Lepisosteus oculatus: one gene and its partners. The protein of the gene in region 3 interacts with the protein of the main gene of each other region in a biochemical or structural test. Links are inferred from orthologs where the notes say so. Each region holds a gene or a part of one and is shown on either strand. Other genes may lie near its edges. The genes, in order: dnm2a, synj1 and sh3gl2a.

What was found.
Region 1: the proteins of sh3gl2a (region 3) and dnm2a interact in a biophysical measurement, tested with the Homo sapiens proteins (2 studies listed by BioGRID and IntAct, with this or other methods). The link is inferred for Lepisosteus oculatus from reciprocal best matches to the Homo sapiens genes SH3GL2 and DNM2.
Region 2: the proteins of sh3gl2a (region 3) and synj1 form a complex in vitro, tested with the Homo sapiens proteins (2 studies listed by BioGRID and IntAct, with this or other methods). The link is inferred for Lepisosteus oculatus from reciprocal best matches to the Homo sapiens genes SH3GL2 and SYNJ1.

Annotation. Positions count from the first base shown.
Region 1 is NC_090706.1:19,999,448-20,006,827, reverse strand, and holds the start of dnm2a (dynamin-2), read left to right. Parts: upstream 1-4,218; 5' UTR 4,219-4,397; coding exon 4,398-4,558; intron 4,559-7,380. UniProt on the Homo sapiens protein: Catalyzes the hydrolysis of GTP and utilizes this energy to mediate vesicle scission at plasma membrane during endocytosis and filament remodeling at many actin structures during organization of the actin cytoskeleton.
Region 2 is NC_090700.1:19,989,778-19,997,799, forward strand, and holds the start of synj1 (synaptojanin-1), read right to left. Parts: upstream 3,120-8,022; 5' UTR 3,037-3,119; intron 1-3,036. UniProt on the Homo sapiens protein: Phosphatase that acts on various phosphoinositides, including phosphatidylinositol 4-phosphate, phosphatidylinositol (4,5)-bisphosphate and phosphatidylinositol (3,4,5)-trisphosphate. Has a role in clathrin-mediated endocytosis.
Region 3 is NC_090696.1:58,813,223-58,821,286, reverse strand, and holds the start of sh3gl2a (SH3 domain containing GRB2 like 2a, endophilin A1), read right to left. Parts: upstream 3,227-8,064; 5' UTR 3,064-3,226; coding exon 3,019-3,063; intron 1-3,018. UniProt on the Homo sapiens protein: Implicated in synaptic vesicle endocytosis. May recruit other proteins to membranes with high curvature. Required for BDNF-dependent dendrite outgrowth.

The DNA of each region.
Region 1 (7,380 bases), on a different chromosome or scaffold from region 3:
ATATGACATCACTCTCTTGACCTTCATTGGCTCACTGAATATGCCTATAGGGCCTGAAAGACTACAGGTGCCCCTGTCCTGAAGTTGGGGACCACTGTTTTAATTCATTAAATGCCTACTGGTAGCTGAATTTACCCTTCCTTCCAAGCATCTTGAACTCAACCACTAATCTCCCTAATTCAGAAGTTATTCAAAAGATAGATTGCAAGAGTTAAATTACAGTACCTTTATAACAATTTTAGAAACTGGGATTTAGGAAAAGTGTCAAATTGAGAATAAAATCATTAGTTTCATTCAGGGTTATCTGCCAGGGTTAAACAGAGCTTTATTTTATTGAAGAGGGACAGTGCACAGTTCTTAAGCTGCACCACAGTAAGCCTAAAAGCGAATTTACATCTGGAGTCCCTGGTTACAACACAATGAACAAAATACAAGACACAGACATTAAAAAAAAAAACATCTAGAGGCAAATCGGATGATAAATCGATATTACAAATGGTAAGGTGAACCGAAAAATTCCAAAACGATGGCATGTTGAATTAAAAAATTATCAAAGACCGCAAGAGTCACATTAGAAGACAATTAGGAAATGAAACATGACAGCTTAGACTATAAATAAAAAGCGAATAGTCAATGACATGATGATAGTCATTAAAAAAGACATCAGGATATTACAGATTACGTGACTTTCTTGCAAATGAAAAGTAGAAGACAAATCACTGGGCTTCCTATGAAAACATGGAACACTGGTATTCCTTAAGGAATACATATTGAGAATACATATTGTGTGCCTTGCAGCTCTGCATAATACACTAAGTAAGGAATCACCTGGGGACCGCTCAATTTCAGATACATTATGGAGTTGTAACACAGTCTACTTAATGGGTTCAATTAGTTAACTTAGTGAGCAAGGACCAGAAAACCCAGAAAACCCAGCAGACAGGAAAGGAATACTCAACTCTGGTCCTGAAAATCCCAACATCATTCCAGCTCAGTTCTCAGTTATTTTAATTAATTCCTTGATTGAACTGAATTTACTCAATTGTACTTGACACCATTGCCAATTGTTTAAAATGTGCAGTTTTTGTGTTACATTATAAAGTACAATAGTCAAAATGAAATCTCCGACAGTTTATGGCCTGAAACCCATCCCACAGGTCAAATGAATCATTCAAGAAAAAGCTAAAACAATGAAGAGCCTGAGAGAACGCCTGCAGATACCAGGGTACCCAGGACCAGCACTGGGAAGTTCTCCTCTTGGAAGAATTTTGAGCACAAGTGCAATCAAACAAAGGTCAAGGGCACGAGCAGATAGTTATATCTTAAGGCCGCATGGAGACGTCTCTACCAAGAACCTGTGTTTTACAGCACCGAGGGCGATTAGGTCTGGGTAAACAGGCGCTAACACTATCACTCCAAGATTTGCCCGGGCAGGTAGGTGCCTCCTGTTAACATTTGAGCTTGACATGTTTACTGAAGGGGTGGCACAGTGGAACACTGGTTAGCATTGCTGCCTTGCAGTGCAGTGGCCCTGCGTTCAATTCCTGCAGTGCTATCTGTGTGGAGTTTGGATGCTCTCCTCATTTTAGTTTGTGGGGGTTTCTTCAGGGTGCTTCCGATTCCTCCCACAGTCCAAAGACAATCTGATGGGTTAGTTACCTTGTGGGAAAATTGGCCCTGGTGTGCGTGTGTGTGTGTCTGTTTATGATTGTGTGTCAGACCTTCAATTGACTGGTGTCCCATAAAGGGTGTATCCTGCCTAGCTTGTCCGGAGAGTCTCTAGCTCCCCCAGTGCCCGTGACCTTGAAGTTCATAAACTAATTAAAAAAACAGATGGATGGGTGTCTACTGAAGTTTTCCCATGTGTCCCTGAAGGTGATGGCTCACAGTTTCTTTGTTCAGCCTTTTTCTAAAAATGCTAGGATAGATCACAGGGTGTCCTAGGAGGCTGTGCAATGCAGGTGACTCAAGGCAGCTCTGCTGAAAGGTTGAAAGGAGTTCCTGTCTCCCACCATCCTTTGTGTAAAATGTGCCTCCTGCTTTTGTTTATAAAGGCACTACGGTGTTTAAGATTGTCTCAGCAAAAAGAGTTGAGATCAATATTGAAGTAGTTATATACTGGTTTTATGTAGAAAGGGCCTGATATTTAATCTTGGTTTTCAATAAGCATATTTAACCGAAGAGCATCGATCAGATCTGAATTATGAAACAGTTTAAGATGTTTTTTATATATCCCGTTTTCTCATTTATTTTTTGATGTTTCTCGAGTGAGCCATGAATACAAGATTAAATTTACTAAACCCTCTCTGAAGTTTATTCGGTATTGATATTTTACAAAAATTAAAATGATGTCGCGCTACTGGAAATGCGCTTCGCATAATGATTTCCCTTAGTTGTAGTGTAAAGCTGTAGTATGTAATGGTTAAGCGCGCTCTGTTGGCTGGGTTCGTCAGCGTTGTGCACAGTCATACTGAAACTGCCCCACCATGTGGCTCTCAATGAGATAGCTTTGGGAGAAAAAATACAGAGTTAAATATGTGAAATCTACACAAGCTCAAGACCTCCTTTGTTATTTTGGGACCTCGTATGATAAACAGAAAACGTGCCGTTGAAGTTGGAACTGGCAAAAACGTTCAGAGACAGAAACAGTCTCTGAGATCCAAAGACCAAAACCGTTAGAAGTAAGAAAAGTCATGAGAGACTCATTTGGATTATTGCAGTTAATTAAGCAGGGGATGTCTTGGTGTCGTTGATTGACAAAAAGCAAGAGTATTGGCTTCAGCATCCTGGCTGGTAAGATTGTTCTAGGCTCCCACTACTCTTTGTGCATATGAGTGCCACTTTTTCTGTGTTAAAAGCACTTCACCTACAGTAAGTTTCCCTTGGTGTACTCTGGTTCGTGTTTCCCTGTTGATTTTGAAGACTTTTTATAGAATCAACTTCTATAATTTTTTTAAAACTGCTGCAGGGTTTAAAAAAGGTGTTCTCGATAATTTTAGCTGAAACGCTGCTTGTACCCTTAAGCAAGTCGCATCACTCAGGCTACTCCAGCGTCAAACCGAGCAAATTGATAATGACCATGTCATCACAGTAAGCGAGAATTCGTTTTCAAGTGGTTTATCTGGTTAAACTGAAGTGAGGTTGCGTCAAGTGGCCTCTGATAAAAGTTCATCCTTCATTTTCTAAACGTTTTATCGAGCTTGCTGAGAACGACGGACTCTAACCCAGTAAGCAACAGGCGCAATAGCGGATACACCAAAGGGGACGCCAGTCCATCACTGGGCATACACAGATACAGGCTCCCACACCAGTGCAAGTTTTCCCAAACGCCAATTAACCTGTCAGCACGTTTTCGGACTGTGGGAGGAAACCAGAGCACCCAAAGGAAACCCACGTGAACGAAGGAAGAACATATAAACTCAACACAGACAGCAACCCAAGTCAGGAACTGAACTCAGTCAGAGCCCCACTACTAACCACTGCGCAATGCTGCCCCTGTTAAATGTCATTCACCACTATGAGCAAAAACATGTTATGAAAATAATCAAGTATATTGGCTTGCCAGTAATTTAGAAATGACGCAGGTCCGGCGTTCCTCTGGTCGCTTTGACTAAAGGCACATTCTACCTAAAAATATTTTTTTAACAACACAGTTGCTCGGTGGGTTATTTGTTGAAAAGTGTGTATCAGGTACAAAAGAATATAAACTCTTAATTTACAGCTGATGGTCATGGTGAAGGGCTCAATAGATTAAATTAAGTATTAAACGCATCAGTTTTATATTTCCCATCGACGAGTATGTTTTTATAATTTATAAAACAGAAGCGAGGCTTCTAGTGTAAAATAATTAACGAAATATAGCCTCTTATTCTTTCTGGGGCAACAGATCGGTTTAGAAAGGTAAATTTAGAAAATAAATTTAGAAAGGTTGTGTGTAGCTTCTAACGCAAACACTCATCGTACTGAAATCTTGGCTGTATTCCTGGGGTAGAAGAAACAGTCAAAGGCTAAAATGATTGACGTTCCAGATGGCCAATAGCGATGCTTTTTACAACAGCACCGCCCGAAATTTAAGACCACGCCCTTACTTACAAGACGAGGAAATAAACTATCCACCAATCGCCGGCCACTTCGAGAAGACGGGCATGCAAATTCGCCAGTGGTTTTGCTCCTTTTGCTTGACAGGAGGCGTGGTCTCTATCAGCAGCGGAGGTTGGGGTGTCGGCTGACCGGATGAGAGAAGTTTTGTTTCTGTCTGTTGGAGTTCTCCGTGTGTATGTTTGCGCTGCCATTTACGGCTGACTGGTTGAATTATTTTTGATCCCCGTTACCAGAGTTGGTGTGAACATACAGAGCTTTTTTTTTTACCAAATAAGTGAGAACCCGAGTGCGCAGCCATGGGGAACCGGGGGATGGAGGAGCTCATTCCCCTGATTAATAAACTTCAGGACGCTTTCAGTTCCATCGGGCAAAGCTGCAACCTCGACTTGCCGCAGATCGCCGTGGTCGGCGGGCAGAGCGCTGGCAAAAGTTCAGTCCTGGAAAACTTTGTCGGCAGGTAAGCCGTTTTTTAAAAAGCCCGTTTCCATTTCAATTCCAACCAGAATCTGGCGGCTCGGCGGAGCGATTTCCTTGTTTGAAAAAAGGTGTCCGTTTCCCGTTTAGGAGCAAGTGACATTCACAAACAGCGTTTGCGAACCTATCGCCAGGCTGCAGGTGGAAGCGAGGGTATTGCCAGTGAGACAGCGTAAATTACGCTACTGCCGTATCTCGCAGAGTGTGCGGAGCTGTGCGGACTGGGGCTGGGAGGAGAAGAAAGGGTTGTCCGAGGAGTTACGCTGGGGAAAAAGTGCGGAAATCTGTTACACCATGACGTAATTACTAGTGGAAGGACACACAAATACTCGTCCTTCTAAAAGTTTTTTCCCCAGTCATGAGTTATTTTTGTATTATTTTTTTTAAACTAACAAATTTTCTTTTCACCTCAGCCGCCCAGCTGCTCTGTCCCCAGGGGATCCGGATCCCTGATTCTGTCTCCTTTGTTGTCCCGGATACCGGCATTTTAAAATAACCTTTAATATGTAGCAAACACAGAACCGGCACATATGCTAGAAATTAAACTTATAAATGCTAAAATGTTTGCGATTTACCGAGAAGTGACTATCGTAGTTCTGCAATAATGAATGACTTCGAGTTGGACGGCTGTTTTTTTATTTCGAACACTTTCAAAAAGCAAGAATGTTGTCTGTCGAAATACTTGTCGAGTCCGTCAAAATGCTTTTCTTTATTCAAAAGCTATTAACATCAAGGTGTTGTTTTAAAGTCGGCTTTGTTCGTTCGAGTCTCTTATCCCTTACGTTGCTGAAACGGTTTTATAAAATATAAGCTGTCTTTTCCGATACACCCTTCACGTTTTTTATTATTGAAAACAGTAACCCACCTTTACTGTCAGTATGAAATACATTTTGATAAACTTCCTAATTAATTATGGTCATACGCAAAGTATACATATTTTACAATATTCATATTTATAAAATGCCACTATATGAGAACTAGCTGATTGCCAGACGTGTAGACGGTATGATTGCTGATGGCTAAAATAAGCGATTGTAACTATCGAACTGGTAGCTTCAAAGGAAGAAGTAAAGGTAAATTCCACCTCGAAAAATAGAAAAGAGAAACGCAGTTTGGGCTTTTGTGCCTTCTTCAGGTGTGACACCTCTTGTTTTTTTTAGCGTGGAATTAACATTTACTGGTATATCACCAAAGTCAGACACATCTACTCGACCAAATTCTCCTTTATATGTAAAATAGTCGTTTTTAGATTCGGAACTGGTTGCACCAGTTAAAAAAAATGCAGTTGACAGGTTTTTTTTTAACGTGGTCCTGCTACCATTCCAATGGATATTTTCTCCTTGTAGAACCTGTGACACCTGTCGCACCTGTGACAAAAGAGTTTTTGAAGCTTTCTGTTTATCCCTCACCTTGAAATTTGAATTTCCTTCAGGAGTTTCCTTAAGAAAGGCTGCACTACCCTGATCTTGGCTAGTGACCTAAACTCAATTGTTGGTTCATATTTCTTACTGTGAGTTCAAAGCAAATTTTGATGTACAGTATTTAAAAGAAAATCCTAATTGGGCAGCTTCTGCTGTCACAAATTGGCTCCAGTATTTATGTCACAGAGCCTTATTATGTATCAAAAAGAGGTACAGCCAACATTCTTCAGTTTGTGTTTATGTATAACAGTGGACATCCCAACACAACCACGTAATTGTCCTATATAATCGGTCACAGTGAATAAGCAGTGCTTATTTGACCACAACACGGGCTATATCCTACAGAGCTTTAAAAATGTGTTTTTTTTAGCCAAAATTATATTTTTGTCTGATTTCATCTTAACTGTTTCCAAGTGGAGAATGTTGTATATGCATATGTTGTAACTTCTTGGGTGCACCTGCATACTGTTGGACTTCATTTTAGAAAATTGTGGTCAAGGAGTTTTGTTTTGGATGGGAGGAAGGTTAGTAATTAGAGGAGGCTGTTTGACCCATTCCGCCAAATGACGTTTGGTAGTTGGTACTTAATTGATCCCAGGGACGTGGCCAGCCATTTATCCAAAGAAGCCAGAGTATCGGCTTCAACATCATGGCCAGGGAGCTTGTTCCATACTCTCACAACCCTTTGTGTAAAGAGCTCACATTTAAATGCAGTGAGTTTGAATGGACAATGTGGTGTGCCTGTTGCCTGTATTCTGTTTTCAAAAGTCTAGCTAGACAGTGAAATCTCAAAAAATACATCTTGTAAAGGGCTTTATATGTTCAGAAGGGTGTAAGATGAGCTATGGAAATGAGTCCCTGGTCCTAACCTGGGGTGTTTGCATTCTTTGTCTGCAGCTAGAAGTGGACTTGAAGGTTTTGTAAACTGGTGCCTGACTCTAAAATACTGAATATCTGTACCATCCTGTCCTCACAATGTACTGGGATTATGAAGTATGCCTTCTTTATTCTTAAGCAGCCATATCACTCTGCAACACACAACTGGCAACCCACAGAAGCTAATCAGGTGTGAGCCTGGTCAGTACCTGGATGGGAGACCTCCTGGGAAAAACTAAGGTTGCAGCTGGAAGAGGTGTTAGTGGGGCCAGCAGGGGGCGCTCACCCTGCCGTCCATGTGGGTGCTAATCCCCCAGTGTAGTGATGGGGACACTATACTGATAACAGGCGCCGTCCTTCGGATGACGTGTAAAACTGAGGTCCTGACTCTCTGTGGTCATTAAAAATCGCAGGGCATTTCTTGAAAAGAGTAGGGGTGTAACCCCGGCATCCTGGCCAAATTTCCCATTGGGCCTTACCAATCATGGCCTCCTAATAATCCCCATCT
Region 2 (8,022 bases), on a different chromosome or scaffold from region 3:
CAGAAAAGAGAAACCTTCAATTTCTCAAGCCTCAATCCAAGACGAACGCAATCAGATTTTCTCAAAAAACTAATGTCCAGACGTACAAATCTGGTCAATATTTACGATTGCAGGTTTCAGGTCCCACTTCAAACTGAACCCAAGATTTATAAAAATATGCAATACAAATGCGATAAAAGTAACATAAGGCAGACTATTAATTACTCTTGATTCTGATGTTTTGCAAAAACACTTTTTTCATTTTTGTATGATTTATAACCTTACGCCTGTCAGATGCCAACTGGAAATGGTCCTTCATTTGCAAGGGAAATGTCCACAAAAATAAAACTCTGTTCTCTAAAAATAAATGCAATCAAAGTTGCCAAATGAATAGATTTCCAATAAAGTATAAGGAAATGTAAATTATTCAAAGAACATAATTTTTTACAATGGCCTTATTTTAAAAAATGCAGTCTGATTCTGAAAAATCAGTTTTTCAGTTTTTGTATTTTGTCTCTAACAAGTGGCCAATCAAATATTTTTCCTGGGAAACAATCATTTGTCCTCGCTTGAACCAATGCATTCATTTCACATCAGACAGCACTGCCCAATCAAAACACTATCAACTATCAATCTCTAAAGACTTGATGTGAAATTCAGGATCAACTAATACTAGCCCCAATACTTCATGCAGCCTGGAAGGTAGACAATGTCTAAAGTCTTCCATCTTAATCTGCAAGTGTGACTGGAATTGCAACTTGTAAACTGTAAAATGAAACTGTAAACTATAATTTGCATGCAAGGTTGCAGCCCTGATGCGATACCTACGAGTTCACACAAGCCTGCCCCTCCATCGTTGTAGACTTCCCTACAATCTCCAGCCTGCAGAAACCCATGGCTAGCCTGGCAGGTAAGATAATATAATCTAGTGTGACTAACGATCACACCAGTGTCCCAGACAGAGCCAAAGAGCTGAAGCCCTATCTGCTAAAATCTCTCCAGGACCCTGCTAAACTCCAACACAGTCCACCTCCTACGCTATGAGCCAGTTGCCTTTGGAAGAAACCCACTGAGCAGTGTTGCAGTGGGCACTTTTTTCTCCTTGGGCTCTCTGGAGGTGAGCATATCCATCATTAGCAGAAGGATGAACCCTTGATTCATCATCGCCAAAACACAGGGTTGCAGCTTCTGATGATCCAGAGAGAAAACACCCACGATTCAGCCTCATGGAGTTGTAGACTGCCTTTTTAAACACTAGCATCAGGTCCCCTTGCTGTCTGCTCTAATAAAATAAAAAAAAGAACTGAATCTTTTTAGGTTGGAACAGAAAGATCTTCTAGGGGACCTGCCTCATGCTTTTCAAGATCAATGGATTTTTTTCAGTATCAACAGAAAAACAAAGTAAGGACACGTGTGGAAACTGCAGGGCAGTGCACTTAAAAACTGAGAACTGGAAGTGATCCTTTACACAGAGAATTGTGGGAGTATGGCACAAGCTGAGTAGCTACTGTATGTTTCTAAAGCTAATACACTAGTTTTCTACAAGAAACAGTTAGATGAAACCTTCGCACCACTGAGCTATGAGTCAAGTGATCTTGTCTTATTTACAACCTCTTATATTTTTTAACTCATATGAGACTCCAGTGGACAACATGGTGGTGAATTGGTGAGGACTGCTGCCTCACAGCACAGGGCCCTGGATTCAGTTCCAGACCAGGGTGCTATGTGTGTGGAGTTTGTTTTTCTCGTGTTAGCATGTTAGAACACCTGCCAGGTGTTCTGGTTTCCTCCCAGTTGAAAAACACACTGGTACATTAATCGGCACGCAGGAAAAATGGCCCTGTTGTGTATGTGTGTGTCCAGGGTGTACCCTGCCTTGTGCCCAGTGTTGCCGGTACAGGCTCCAGCTCCCCCATGACCCAGAATTGGATCAAACAGTTAGAAAATGGATGGCGAACGGTGGATGGATGAGACTCTAGCAAGCTGCCTTGGAGATAAGGCTTAACTCTCAAGTGCTTCAGCTCAAAGTGCCATTATTGTCTATATTATTGCCATCATAGTGTCTATATTTCAATCACGGTGTTGTGCTTCAGACGTATTACTGTCATATCCAATACTGGAAATCTGCCAGGTTGGGTATCTGTTAACTTGATGTTAAAAGAAGCAGCTAGGACTGTTTAAATATCCCCAATTTCCAGGACAGATGAAACATGGTAGTCTGGACATCCCTAAAATTAAATAAATACATTTGCACCGGCCTCCAGCTACTACCTTTGAAAGCCATGACTCTCAGGCCAACAGCATTGAATTGACTAGAATGTGTCAATCGCGCGTTGCAGGAACTGTCACTTACCACACCACCAGTTCTAACAAATCTGACAGCAGGAAATCATATACAGTTCGCCCCCTTGCAGTTACATAGGATACGCGCACAGTAATCTTGCTCCACTGCTGTGTTTGGGTGATTTGAACTCGCACCGATTAACCTTCAGTTAGGTAAACAAAAAAATCGCAGACTGGCGTTTCATTCTAATCACGCAAAATCAATTCAGGCCCTTTGCGTGATACAGGCCAGAAGACACCACCCTTGAGCATAAACCCAATATGATAATGAATGGCTGGCGGCTATACAATATACGAAATTACAATGGGACTCCAGGTCCTGCTGCTCTGACAACATAAATAGCTGCGTATACTGATATGTATAAAATCAAACACAAAGATTAAAATGCTGACGTTCAAACTGGTTTACCAATATTAAAATGACATTTCCTAACTCTAACTTATGGCAATCACTGAAACCACATATTTTCACGCATCTCTTTGATTTATAACACCGTCTTGTCTTCCGGCTTCATTTTGCTTCTACAGTATCCTGTTATGAAGTATTTTAGTGCATTTCGCCTCCTCACTAAGCCCAGTACGCTCTTTAGTGAAAGGCCATCTGTCACGCAAAGACACGCACGGGTGTTAATCGCGCAGGCCAGCGAAAATGGTCTGTATCGCAGAAAACGATTTACAGGTATTTCATATAATGATATTTTCAAATCTCCTCACCGTCCCACTGCTGTCTCCGCCGGATTTACCAGCCTCTGATCTCCGAGACCACAGAGTCCCTGCCCTCCCACTGCCAATAGGCGACGTCAAACGTCCGCAGCGCACGGTTCCGCCTGCGTAACCGTATAACCCGGCACACACGGGCATCCCAGGTTTGTGAGGAACGCTCATAGAACAAAATGGTCTAACGCTAAGACTTATGCTAATAAGGGGTCTAATTCCCCTTTTAATGCTTATGAGGTGGAAATGCAGTATTACTTCCATTAAAAACTTGAAATATATATATATAAACAAATCTGTTGTAACTGATGCAAGAAATTTAAGTTATTGTGCTCAAATTTATACCTTTGTTCTGCGTTTTTTGTTCACTTATATTTTTGGATACCCTTTCTCTTTTGCATAATTTGATGTTCAATAAAACTTTTGAAAGAAAGATTTTTTAAGGAATGCGCTTGCTTTGTAAGAATCAGGGTTTTCAAGATAATCTGATAGAGTGAGAGCCCAGTTTCGAAAACTGTCATTAAAGATTAAACACACGTGCAAACTAAAACTGATATCTTTAATCATAATACAGCTAGTTTTTTTATATTTTATGTTTGCACATATTGCAGACTCACTGTGTACTAGGCCTCGGGGGTGGAGGACTGATATTTTGTCCTTCTTGGAAACATTATGTTTTTGCTCTGTAAATAATCAGATATAACTAGTATATTTTCTCATTCTTCAATTAATAAACAAAAGCTGGGTGAAAAAATATTCAGGTCACCAAATCCTGCTTGACTACATTGAAATGTGCATTTAAAGTTGATAAAAGGAGAAAATTTCAAAGGTTGTGGAAGTATAGAAGAACTTACCCAGCTATGTTGTTTAAGCTGAAATTTTAAACTCATGTTTCCTTCATGACGCGCCTGAGTGCAGAGTTCAAATAGCTAAGAGAGTCCTAAAGAGCTGGACAAGTCAAATACCACCCTCTCCTTTTTAATCTTATGTTCTTACTTCAGTTTTTTTGCCTCACAGTAGCGCCTTAGGACCTGGGAACGCTGGAAACTAAGCAGTTATTGAAAATGGGTATGTAACTCTGTCTTAATTATTACTAATAGCACCCATTATATGTTATTATACATTGCCTGTGTGGGCACCCAGGTTAATATGAACTTTAGAGAGCCGTGGCCAGAAAACTACTCGGTATACTTCTAGATGCCTTAAGATGTTGTATTACCAAACGCGAACTACATTTCCCACAAACCCACTGGAGTACTTCCTGTAGTGTTTCTACGTTTCCGCTAAACTGTCTGTCAGTTGTGACGTGCTTGCAGGTCCCTTCCAGTCAGATGATGGTGTCACAGGTGGTTGTCTAGTACGATAGACTCGTGTAAAGAATAAACCAAAACTGAATCTGCTATTAAATTGGTTTATGTCTGAAAACAACAATGGGACGATTCCGTATAGTGGCACACTAGCCTGCGTGATTAAGCTAATACATCCGCCTACTGTGCCAAACAACTTCCTGTTACAGTTTCATAGTTGATCTTATGAAAAAGTGCTTTAAATTTTTATCAATTAGTATGATGTAATAATCTGCATCACTGAAGCCACTCATAGTTATGGTGTCTTTTAAATCACAGGCAGGAGGACTTAAGTGAAGACAGGTCCTGACTGGTGGACTACAGTACGTGCTGACAGGTCAGAGAGAAAAGGGAGGTTACCAGGGCACTAGAATATATTGGCCACTCATTACCCTCCAGAACAAGTACTTTGGGAGTCAGTCAGTAAGGTACACACATCTGAAGTGTGTTTGGAAGAGGTTTGGTTTACAGCTGGTTGTTAGCCAGGAATCAAGACCTACAATATGTGGACAGGCTATTCAGAGCAGGGGTAGACCTACTGTAGTAGTTACAGTTTGGCAAGTTGCTCCTGAAGTAAGGCTGGGTAACAGCATAAGCAATGTGGCTCGAAACTGTACACACACCTTTGTGTAAAGATGTGTATCCTGTTCTTTTGAGTTAAGAGGCAGCTCTCGTTCTTACTCCAAAATACATTCTTACGTTTTACATTGTGCTATCCAGTTTCTGTTTACTGTTGGAAAAAGTCCTGGAAAAGTCCAAAACCTCTGTTAAGGTTTATAAGGTCAAAATTACTGCCCTTCATTTTGTTTGGCTGATTTGCTAAATGTACTGTATAAAGGTGTTTATAAAGTTGTTTCTTGCATTCAAAGCAGTGTTGGAAGGCAATGGGTTACCAGTTACTGTTTTAATTGTAATAAGAGCTCAAAATCCGGGTAAAGGTCATCTCTTACACTTTTTTGACAATAATACGATTACAGTTACTTTCAGTAATTTAGAGATTATTTTAAGCAATTCTTTTTGGGATTAATTATGTGAATAAAGCAGAAATGAACTAGAGTATTTACAAAGGGATCTTTTCTAATTCATAATGTTATTTAATTATTACCCATATGACAATTTAGGAGAAAGTAGGAGACATACAAGCATTTTCTGTTCTTTTGCAGGAAGTACAGTACTGTATATGCAGATTTCCCCAGTGTGCTGTGCCTTGGAAAATAAGGTTTTTATGGCATTAGAAGAGTCATGATTCTTGGTGCATGTGCTGGTACACTTCAGATTGGATAAAAAATGCATCATGATCAAAGCTCTGATTTACCTGGTCAACATATACAGTCAGAACATGAAATTAAAGGGGAAACTCAATGCTATGTGTGTATTTCGGTGTTTGAAAGAATCAGAATTGATAAGTGCATTTCAAATCACAATGAATGTAAAATGTACATAGTAACATGTAAAACCCCCTTTTTACATCACAAAATAGACTACATTTCCAGGTATGTGCAGCACCATATTCTGTGATTCAGAACAAGCCAGCAAAACATCCAGTGAAGTGAAGCGGTTCTATTACATTGTAAACAAGCAGATTTGTGAATACAGGTACATTACTTTTAATCCAGCAGAAATATTGCTCTCCACTTTGAGACAGTTTCGCAGTCAAATACTAATTATTTATTAACTCTGCATACAGATCACGTTAGAACATTTCTCAGGTGAAATGTCTGCTGCACAACCTGTACTTATTCACTCATGCATCGCATTACTGTACATTAGTCATTAGAGTGACTAGAGAGCAGGAAGAGCCGGTTCACAATTCTCATGAACTCTCTACAAAAATAGTGACAGTACTTTCATAGTTCACAATTTTGTGTTTAATTCGGAATATCTTCAATTTTGCCATACTATCAATTAATTTATTTTATAATTGAGGTTTAATAACCGGCCTGAGAAATTAGGACTACAGTTCCCCTTCAAGTGCAAGTGGAGGGATACTGATTGTGGCCTTCTGTGAAGTCTGGCTTCCTGACTGTTTTGTGAGCTGTGAAAAGATGTCAAGACAGAAGCCCCGTTACTAGAGGGCACTTTAAAGATATTTTTCTTGAAACATAAAACAGATTCTACCTAAGAATAGGAAAATCGAAGACCAATAGTATATAATGAGAAAGGGAGCAATATATAACATAATTGAAAAAAAAATATTTATTCAGTTAGAGAAAAGGAGTGCACTGAATTGCAAAATAGGTAAAACTAGGTTAGTAGGATGGTTGAGCAAGAGACAGAATAGAATAAAGCGTTAATATAATGTATTTTTCAGGATAACAACAGCAGATGAACAGTAAAGGATGAAGCAGGATGCCTCAGGAAGAGTGAGATAACATTGGTAGTTCCATGTTGAAACTGCAAAGGACCATCAGCCCAGAGCTAATCACGATTTTCATGACATTAAGCAAATAGAGAGCACATGACTCCAGCCCCCAGTGGACAGAAAGCCAGTTCACCAGAGAGCAGCTGGGTGGCCTGGAGCAATCAGGTTAAAGTACCCTGCAAAAAGTACGCCTCAGGGACTTTAACCCACCAGTCCAGAAACTGACCCACTACAGTATGTTACACTGTCTTCCAAGAAAAGTAACCTGGCTAATATATGGAATTAGTTAAAGTCATATTTCACAAAGGTGTTTATCAAGGAAGAAATTGACAACACATCTCTAGCTGAGCCAAGATAAAGCTTAGCAACATTAAATAGCTTTAGCATAGTATAGAGTTTTTCTGATTACACATTGTACACTATGCTCTTTATTTTCTCTCTGATTCACTGTTGAGAGCTAAGGAGGTTTGCTAGCCACAATTGTTTCAGACACAATAGTGACTTTCGTGATAAGACATGTTTCATAAATTGACTGATTTTGCTTAAAATTATTATTTGCATATAGAAACTGCATTATATCAGCTACAGAACCTTCAAAACAATGTAAGAGGTACATTAAGGTACTCATGCAAAATGTCTCGAGATATTTTACTGAAAAAAATCCAGTGCAAAACATTGTCACTACTGTACACATTATTTGAAGAAATACAATAGTAGTTGACACCTTTAACCAAAATACAGCAACAAATGTTTTACTCTTGGTGTGTCTTGGTTCAATTCAAGTATCTGGCTATAGATCTAACACTGTAACACAGTTTGAATATAAAAGTGTGCAACCATCTTCTGAATGCACTCTTTCCACTGCATATTGATCACACAAATAGGCAGATTCTGGGCTACTGCTGTCAGATATGTATTTAAATGTACAAATGTATTTTAAATCAGAATGTGGATTAAAAGTGTTTAAATCAAAATATTTAAAGGATACAATTAAAATCTTAATTCGCGATGACGTGAAGCCAAAACCGATATTTTTTATACAATTTAGGAAAAATACATAGAGTATTTTATATACAAAAAAGCCGCGGTTACTTATATTAATACTATTTGTAGTTTTAATGAGTTATCGAAGCTTCAGCAATTTCAGTTGACTTGCTGTAATTTGCAAAACATGGAAAAATCTTGATTTTACGCGTTTTCAAATTAACAGCATAAAAAACGTAATCTGCCACGAAAGCACACAAAATGCGACCAGTTTCAAAATATACTTCCGTCTAT
Region 3 (8,064 bases):
TTTATCTTCCAACAAGACAATGATCCCAAACATACAGCAAAATCTACAAAGGAATGGTTCACAAATAAACGTATCCAGGTGTTTGAATGGCCAAGTCAAAGTCCAGACCTGAATCCAATCGAGAATCTGTGGAAAGAGCTGAAAACTGCTGTTCACAAACGCTCTCCATCCAACCTCACTGAGCTCGAGCTGTTTTGCAAGGAAGAATGGGCAAGAATTTCAGTCTCTCGATGTGCAAAACTGATAGAGACATACCCCAAGCGACTTGCAGCTGTAATCGCAGCAAAAGGTGGCTCTACAAAGTATTAACGCAAGGGGGCCGAATAATTTTGCACGCCCCACTTTTCATTTTTTTATTAGTTAAAAAAGTTTCAAAAATCCAATAGATTTCGTTCCACTTCACAATTGTGTCCCACTTGTTGGTGATTCTTCACATAAAATAAAAAATGTATATCTTTATGTTTGAAGCCTGAAATGTGGCAAAAGGTTGAAAAGTTCAAGGGGGCCGAATACTTTCGCAAGGCACTGTAAATCCATCCATCCATTTTCTAGCCACTTGATTCAGTAATGGGTCACAAAGAAAGCTGATCCTATCCCAGCAAGCAACGGGTCCAACACAGGAAACACCCTGGATGTCTATCATAGGGCACACACATATACTGTACACGCACACACTCACACCACGGCCAGTTTTCCCAGAAGCCTGTCAAGCTACCAATTTGTCTTTGGACTGTGAGAGGAAACTGAGCACCTGAAGAAAACATGGGGAGAACAAACAAACTCTGCACATCTAGCACCACAGACCTAGATTTAACCCTGGATTGATGCTAACTGTTGTGCCATTGTGCCACCCTTCAATGAAAAACATTATTATTAATAATAATGTCTACTGTATGAAGAGTACAATAACAATAACAATTGTTTGCAGGTGTACAATACTTTTCATCCTGAAGGATTCCATTCACTGCTGAAGTGCAGCACCCACCAGTTAGAAGTGTGGCAGCCATTCTGCAACAGCATTCCCTACACAGCAAGTCTGGGGATGCTGTGTGAAATTGAGGTGTTATCAGGTAGGGCCCATTATCCAAACTTAGAATGGAAACTAGTCAGGAAATCAGGGCTAACACCCCTGTTTTTACTAGCTGTACCACGGGATCTTTACAGACCAATGTCAATGAAGGATGGCATCTCCTACAGCTAACTGTAGTGTCCTTGATCACCGTACTGGGCTATAGTTCTATAGGTTTTTTACAGGAGGAATTTTATCTTTTTTTTTATTAATACAACCTCAATATGATCACCTGTCAGCATTATGCTTTGAACATCAGATTGTTTTGTTGTATTGGGAAAGATGACAGTTTGCTACCGAAAGGTTTTTTGTGGTTGATTTTCCCCTAAGAGTTTAAGCAAAAATTCATACTGAACAGAACCCTCCTTGATATCTAATATAAAGCATCTGTATTTAAATGAGTGTTTTTACTGTGAATTCCTAAAATGTAGTCACTTCTCTTTTGTTAGTCATATTGCCCTGCTCTTCAGTTGATGTTTTATTATTTTCTATGCATTGTGCTGTAATTCCTATTTCAAGAGGTTGTGTTCCCAGCTTCAGTAACGCTATACAACGCAGTTACAGTCAGTTGTGATGTTGTGATACTTCTTTGAACAAAATTAAATAAATACAATCACGATAGTTTCAAAATAGCATATCCCAGCGCACACAAGAACGCACCAAAAACAGTTACTGTACATCATGCACATTTATTTTTTTACTAATACTGTATTACCTCTGACGCTGACTCATACTGTAGTTCTATTTTAACCCACATAACGCTACTGAAGTTTTTGTTATGGGACGCTTGGATACATTTTCACAGGACAGTGGTTGTTTTCTCTTTGTTAATACCTGCACTTAAAACCCAGGAATCCAAACCCCGCGGTTGTACTGTTATAAAATAGCACCAGTTTCATGATGTCTAAAACAATGTTCAGTTGGGACAGCAACAGCATCTTGTATTATGTACTCACGCAGCAAAGACCAACAAAAGGTCATCTTCACAAAGCACAGTTTTGAAACCTAGAGCAGTGAATTCAAGCTAAGGTGAAAGTGAAAGGCAGTGAAACTGTTTTATTTACATAAGTCATCAATACTTATTATAAATAACAAACCAGCTGGTGTACGGAGAAAAATCAGTAGAAAATGTTGTATACAAGGCAAAATATTGGAATTAAACCGAAATAATAATAAGCCAATATTCTGCTTGACCATAAAATAACAAGCGTCTGTGCTTTTCTTGATCACAGTGGAAACGATATTTCAGTGTTGGGGGTGTATTTTTGCTGCTTAAAAATGCAGTCTGAAGGGTAGTCTCCCGCATATTCATCTTTATTCGGTGAAAACCAATGACATTGCACCGAAACTATTATATTTCTCTTTCATGTTTTATATTTTCACATTACCAAAACTAAAACCATATTTCAGTACTGAATGCACAATATTTAGAAAATGTCAATAATGTTTACATCTACAGTCAATAATGTTATTTATTTAACATTTAACACTTTAAATAACATCTACAGTCAATAATGTTATTTAAAGAGGGAAAATAAAAGGGATAAAAAAATCAAGGGATGGAGCACATTTGTAAACTGAACCTAATGTGAATGGAATTGTCGAAAGACATTTGCAGTTATAACCCAGCACTATGGAATCTGAGACTCGAAACCTTGAGCTACCGAAGAAAACGCACAGATTCGCCGTATAAAAGCTGCTCTCTTTATATATAATTTTTGGTTTCATGTCTAAATACGTGCCCTACATTATATATTGCAGACACGACTTAGTGCAATAGGAAATTAGAAATATATTTATAAACCCAAGCAACCAAAACAAGCAAGGAGTCAAAATGGGTCTCCTCGGTGTTCCATCAAAACAGAACACTTACTGCATTCCCACGTCCTGCAGGAATGCACAACATTGCATCCTCTGCGATTCCAAGGATAAACAACAGGAAGACTTACCTGGGTGGCTTTGTGGAATTGCTTCTTCAGTCCTGCCACAGACATTTTCAGATGTAGCGGTTTGCTGTTCTTTGTTTTCTGATTTCTACTCTTGCTCTTGTCGCAGAGTGTTCAAGATGCTCAGTTCAGACCTTGCTGAAGCGCTCAATTCCTCGGGATCTCCAGACTCGGGGACTGACTAATGCTATGATCAGGTTATTGAATGTCACTCTTAATGTGACCTGCCAGTGACGTCACCTTGCTCCATAACCAACCTCTTAAAGGCACAGCGGAAACAGCAACTACAAACAACTAAAAATACTACGGCAATTACCTTAGACAATACACGATATGTGCTTAAGCAAAGGCTCAAAAGAAGCTTGACACCGTTATGCATTACATAACCATCGAATGATATGAAGAGCACCAGAAGAAAAGAAAATTAATAACGCGTGTGTAAAAAAATCATATAAAACGAATGTAATTTCTGAACGAGACCTATTCAAGGTGTCCTCTTTGAAATAAAAATATATCTATCTCCCTCCTTTAATAACTTCTTCCAAATAAGAAGTTAATAATGTTTATAAACGAAAAGAGGTTATTCTACCCATCTAATTCTGGATTTTCAGTCCCCTGGTTTTCATTACTCCAGACTCTTATTGGCTCTTAATAACTCAATGTATTGCAATCGAGTGTTAAATTATTTATCTGTATTACCACTTTTACATGCCTTTACTCACTAATGATTAGAAGTAACCTATAAACCCGATAGCATGCAACCCTCCAGAACCATGTTACATTAGAATTAATATTTAGTATAGGGTTAGTATAGGTGTGAATATTTTAATATGTGCCAGTGCAGCCTGTATCTCTGGGAACCACTGTCCCATTTATAATAATAATTGCTTACACTTATATAGTGCTTTTCTGGACATTCCACTCCAAGCGCTTTACAGGTAATGGGGACTCCCCTCCACCACCACCAATGTGCAGCATCCACCTGGATGATGTGACTGCAGCCATAGTGCACCAGAACGCTCACCACACATCAGCTACCAGTGGGGAGGAGAACAGAGAAATGAAGCCAATTCATAGATGGGGATTATTAGGAGGCCATGATTGGTAAGGGCCAATGGGAAACTTTGGCCAGGACGCCAGGGTTACACCCCTACTCTTTTTGAGAAATGCCCAGGGTTTTTACTGACCACAGAGAGTCAGGACCTCAGTTTTCCATCTCATCCAAATTAATGCACCTTTTTACAGTACAGTGACCCCGTCACTATACTGGGGCATGAGAACCCACATAGACCACAGGGTGAGCACCCCATGCTGGCCCCACTAACACATCTTCCAGCAGCAACCTTAGTTTTTCCCAGGAGGTCTCCCATTCAGGTACTGACCAGGCTCACACCTGCTTAGCTTCAGTGGGTTGCCAGTTGTGAGCTGTAGGGTGATATGGCTGCTGGCGGAAGAGCATCAATTATCCCAGTTTCAGAACTAAGAACAGTTACAAACAAGGGGAACCTACTCAGCCATTCTAGCCCTTTTCATAATTGTTACAGTAGCTAACAGATCTAATATCATCACCTGATTTTGGAAAGATGCTATGCTTTGACACCATGGCTGTATATAATACTTTAAGAAAGCTTCCTGTTGTCACATTCCAGTGCAACTCTCTGTATTTTCCACCTGTGTCTTCTGGCTTGTGCTGATGCTGAAAAATTCCATTAAGTTAACTTGAATAAACACCTTTGGGGATCCTAGAATCCAGGCTCCTGCAGATTCAGAGCTATCTGACTGCTTAGCTGTACATTTAAAAAGTCCTTGAGACAGATAAGCCCATCCAGAATCCTGACTTTCCAGCAGAACGATGGAAAACCACACAGTGCTAGGTTACAATGGAATGACTTTAAGAAACCACTGTCTACTTCTTGACATGGCCAGATTTGTCTGCTCTGAATACAATGGAATATGTGGGACTAAGGTGAATGCTATCGGTAGTAAATAAGAGCAACTGGCCATTTGTTAGCTGGTCAACTGCCCAAAGGATCAATGGCAGAACATCTCACAGCAGTCTGTCCAGAGGCTGATGAGGTCTTTGTGTCAGCACTGCAAGCTATGGTTTCATACGTAGGGATAAAACAGTGGGGCATATTATTACAGTAGGTTTTAGAAAAGATTAGTAGAAATCTTTCTGTTGCTTTGAAAACCTCTGGCAGTCTCCCTCACCGATTCTAGACATTAGGAGTCCATGTTGAGGTACGCCTCTCTGATAACCAGGATGTCCTGACTCTAAAACAAACTATGGGTCCATTTTGACCATCAAGCCATCATGGCTCCTTTCAATCTGGAACACCAGGGGTGTGACTTATCTGAGTTGAAGCCTGAAGTGGAGACCAGTTAGTCATCCAAAAGATGACCTATCAATGAGAAAACTGGACCTGGTGACATCACAACCCATCACTACTCACTTTAAGGTATTGTAATGCCAAGAACTTCATTCACTTTGTCTCTTTCTTGCTCCTCTTTTAATTCAAAAAGAAAAAGTTACGTGAATGCTATTGTCCAAGTCAAGAAAATTAACTTTAATTCAAGGGAAATTTTGTGAACAGCTAGCCAATCTGAATCATTCAACTGGAACAGAGACAGACCTTGAGCACGAACTGTTAGAAAGCTAAGCTCAGCGTGACATTAGGTGGATACTTTTTCCTAGAGGAGCAATGCTGAGCACAAAGCTAAGTAACACTATTTCCCTGCACCACAGGAAAGAGATTGAACATAGCTACATTGAACTGAGCCCAGTTTTGTCTATCAGTAGGATTTTAAAAACCTCTTTACAAGATACATTGACAAGCCTCACCAGATGAGTAAAAATTCCATGTTCACATTAGTAGTTTTAAGAATTTATTCCAAACACATTTGACAAAGTAACTTCACTATCTACTTGTCTTTGAAAACATGAATGATTTTAACTTAGGCTAACAAATGTTAGCATCAGTGTGTTTTATCCCTGATATTATTACTATTTTTGTAATCACTGAATGAACAATCAGCCATTTTTATCAAGGCTGACCAAGGCACTCTTGAAATGTACTGCTCTAGTTTCTAATTGGTCAAGAAAATTCATATAGGGTAAGTAAGAGCAGGTCATATCCCATTCTGTAAAAAAGTTTAATTTTTGACATTGACACATTTTGTTTTTATTTACATTTATCATGATTCCTTGTTTTTTGTCTAGATTCCTATAATTTATTTATTAAAATATCTGGTTATATCCATTAGACTTCGATATTGAGGTTCTTTTGTGCTTTTGTTGGGAGACAATTCTTCCCTGCTAAAATGGTGTTAGCGGAGTGTTCTTGCTAAGTGTGACCCTGCTATCATCTCTCTTCTTCCAGTGGTTTCCAGCAGGTAAGTTTCTGGAGGCAGCTCTGCTCGTGCAATGCAGTACTGACCAACTTGGAGAGCTCTGATGAATCAATTAGAAGAAATATAAAATAACAATCCTTTAAAACGTTTAGCTGATTCTTTCTAATCCCGAAATATAAAAATAGCCTTGCAGTTCCCCTTAAAGGGCTTCAGATGAAACCGTTCACCTAAAAAAGTTTTTCTGAATGTCACAACACTTGATCAACAACAATCTCAACACAACACTCCAATTAATGTTTTCTAGGAACCTGCACATCTGATGGGGTGGCTGATAAAACTTATCATTCGTGATTGCTAGCAACAGTTCATGGCCAAACTGTTTTCATGCATGATTTACACAGGAGAGCTGTAATGTTTTACATACTAAAAAGCAAACTATTTACAGTAGTACTCAGAAACATGGTAATATGATGATTAGTGCTACTACATCGAACTTCCTCAGTTCTGGTTTCAGTTCTGACAAGATGTCCTTCTGTGTGGAGTGTACATGTTCTACTTGGTACTGGTTCATTCCCATAGTGAAAACAACATGCTACATACTGTAGCTTCACTAAATGTCTGACCATGCAGGGTTACTCTACTATGCCCCCGATTGGATGGATTACTTTTAGTTCTGTTATCTAGCTCAGAGAAAAAAAGAGATTTAGACAGATGTAGAAAATAAAAACTAGAACACACTGTTATACACCAAAGCAGGACTCTTATTTTTTATTAGCAGAGACAGTATATGAGTTTTAATGTCTCTCAGTATATACTGGTCTGTGAAGGTCTTATTTATACTACATGTGTAATAACTCACTATGTTTTTAATTGAGCATTTTATAGCTTTACACTTCTTGTATTATTAATTTACACGAATTGTACTGTAAATTAATTGAGCATTCTTATTTTGAAGTAATCCAAGACCAAGTTTCAGTTTGTTCAGAAGTCCAGTATTACCTTAATAAATGGGTGAAATTCCACCATGTTTTGAAAACTCTCAAAAACATCAAGTGGAAAGAATGCTCATGTTGTTGGTATTCTATTTTTATAGGAATTATCAAGTTCCTCCTTTAAGAAAAACAATTATACTGAAACATATTTATTCTTTTATTACGCAAGTCCTCATCTACAAAAAAAATACAGAAGAAAGCAAATAAATTAAGAGCTTCTAGTGTGCTCTAGACTATTCTAGTATGTTGTTGAGAAAATGCCTCAGAATTGTCCTTCAAAATACCTAAAAACAATGATAAAGGAAAAGTTAAGACTTTAACACAGAGAAACAAATATACAAATAATATTGCTATTTAACAGAATGTAAAGTAATGCCCTTGGTTTACTACGGTAATTCACTAAGACTCTGCTCCCTAGGTTTCCTTCTGCTGAACAGTTTCCTCCATAAGGCTGTGAAGCAACCCCTCCCACACCATCTCTCCTGATCTTCTTCAGGGGGAGGGGGCAGAGGAGGGCATGGTGCTGATGACAGGGGCAGGCCAGGCTCTGGGTCTGCATTAGTGAGGGGGGAGAGGCAGGGATTTCAGGGGGAGCTGGGATATCAGAGATCAGCGGAGGAAGGGGATCTAGCGATGGTGATGGGCTGGGCTCAGGAGCTGCCTCAATGAGGAGCGAAGAGGAAGGAATTTGTCAAGGAGCAGAGAC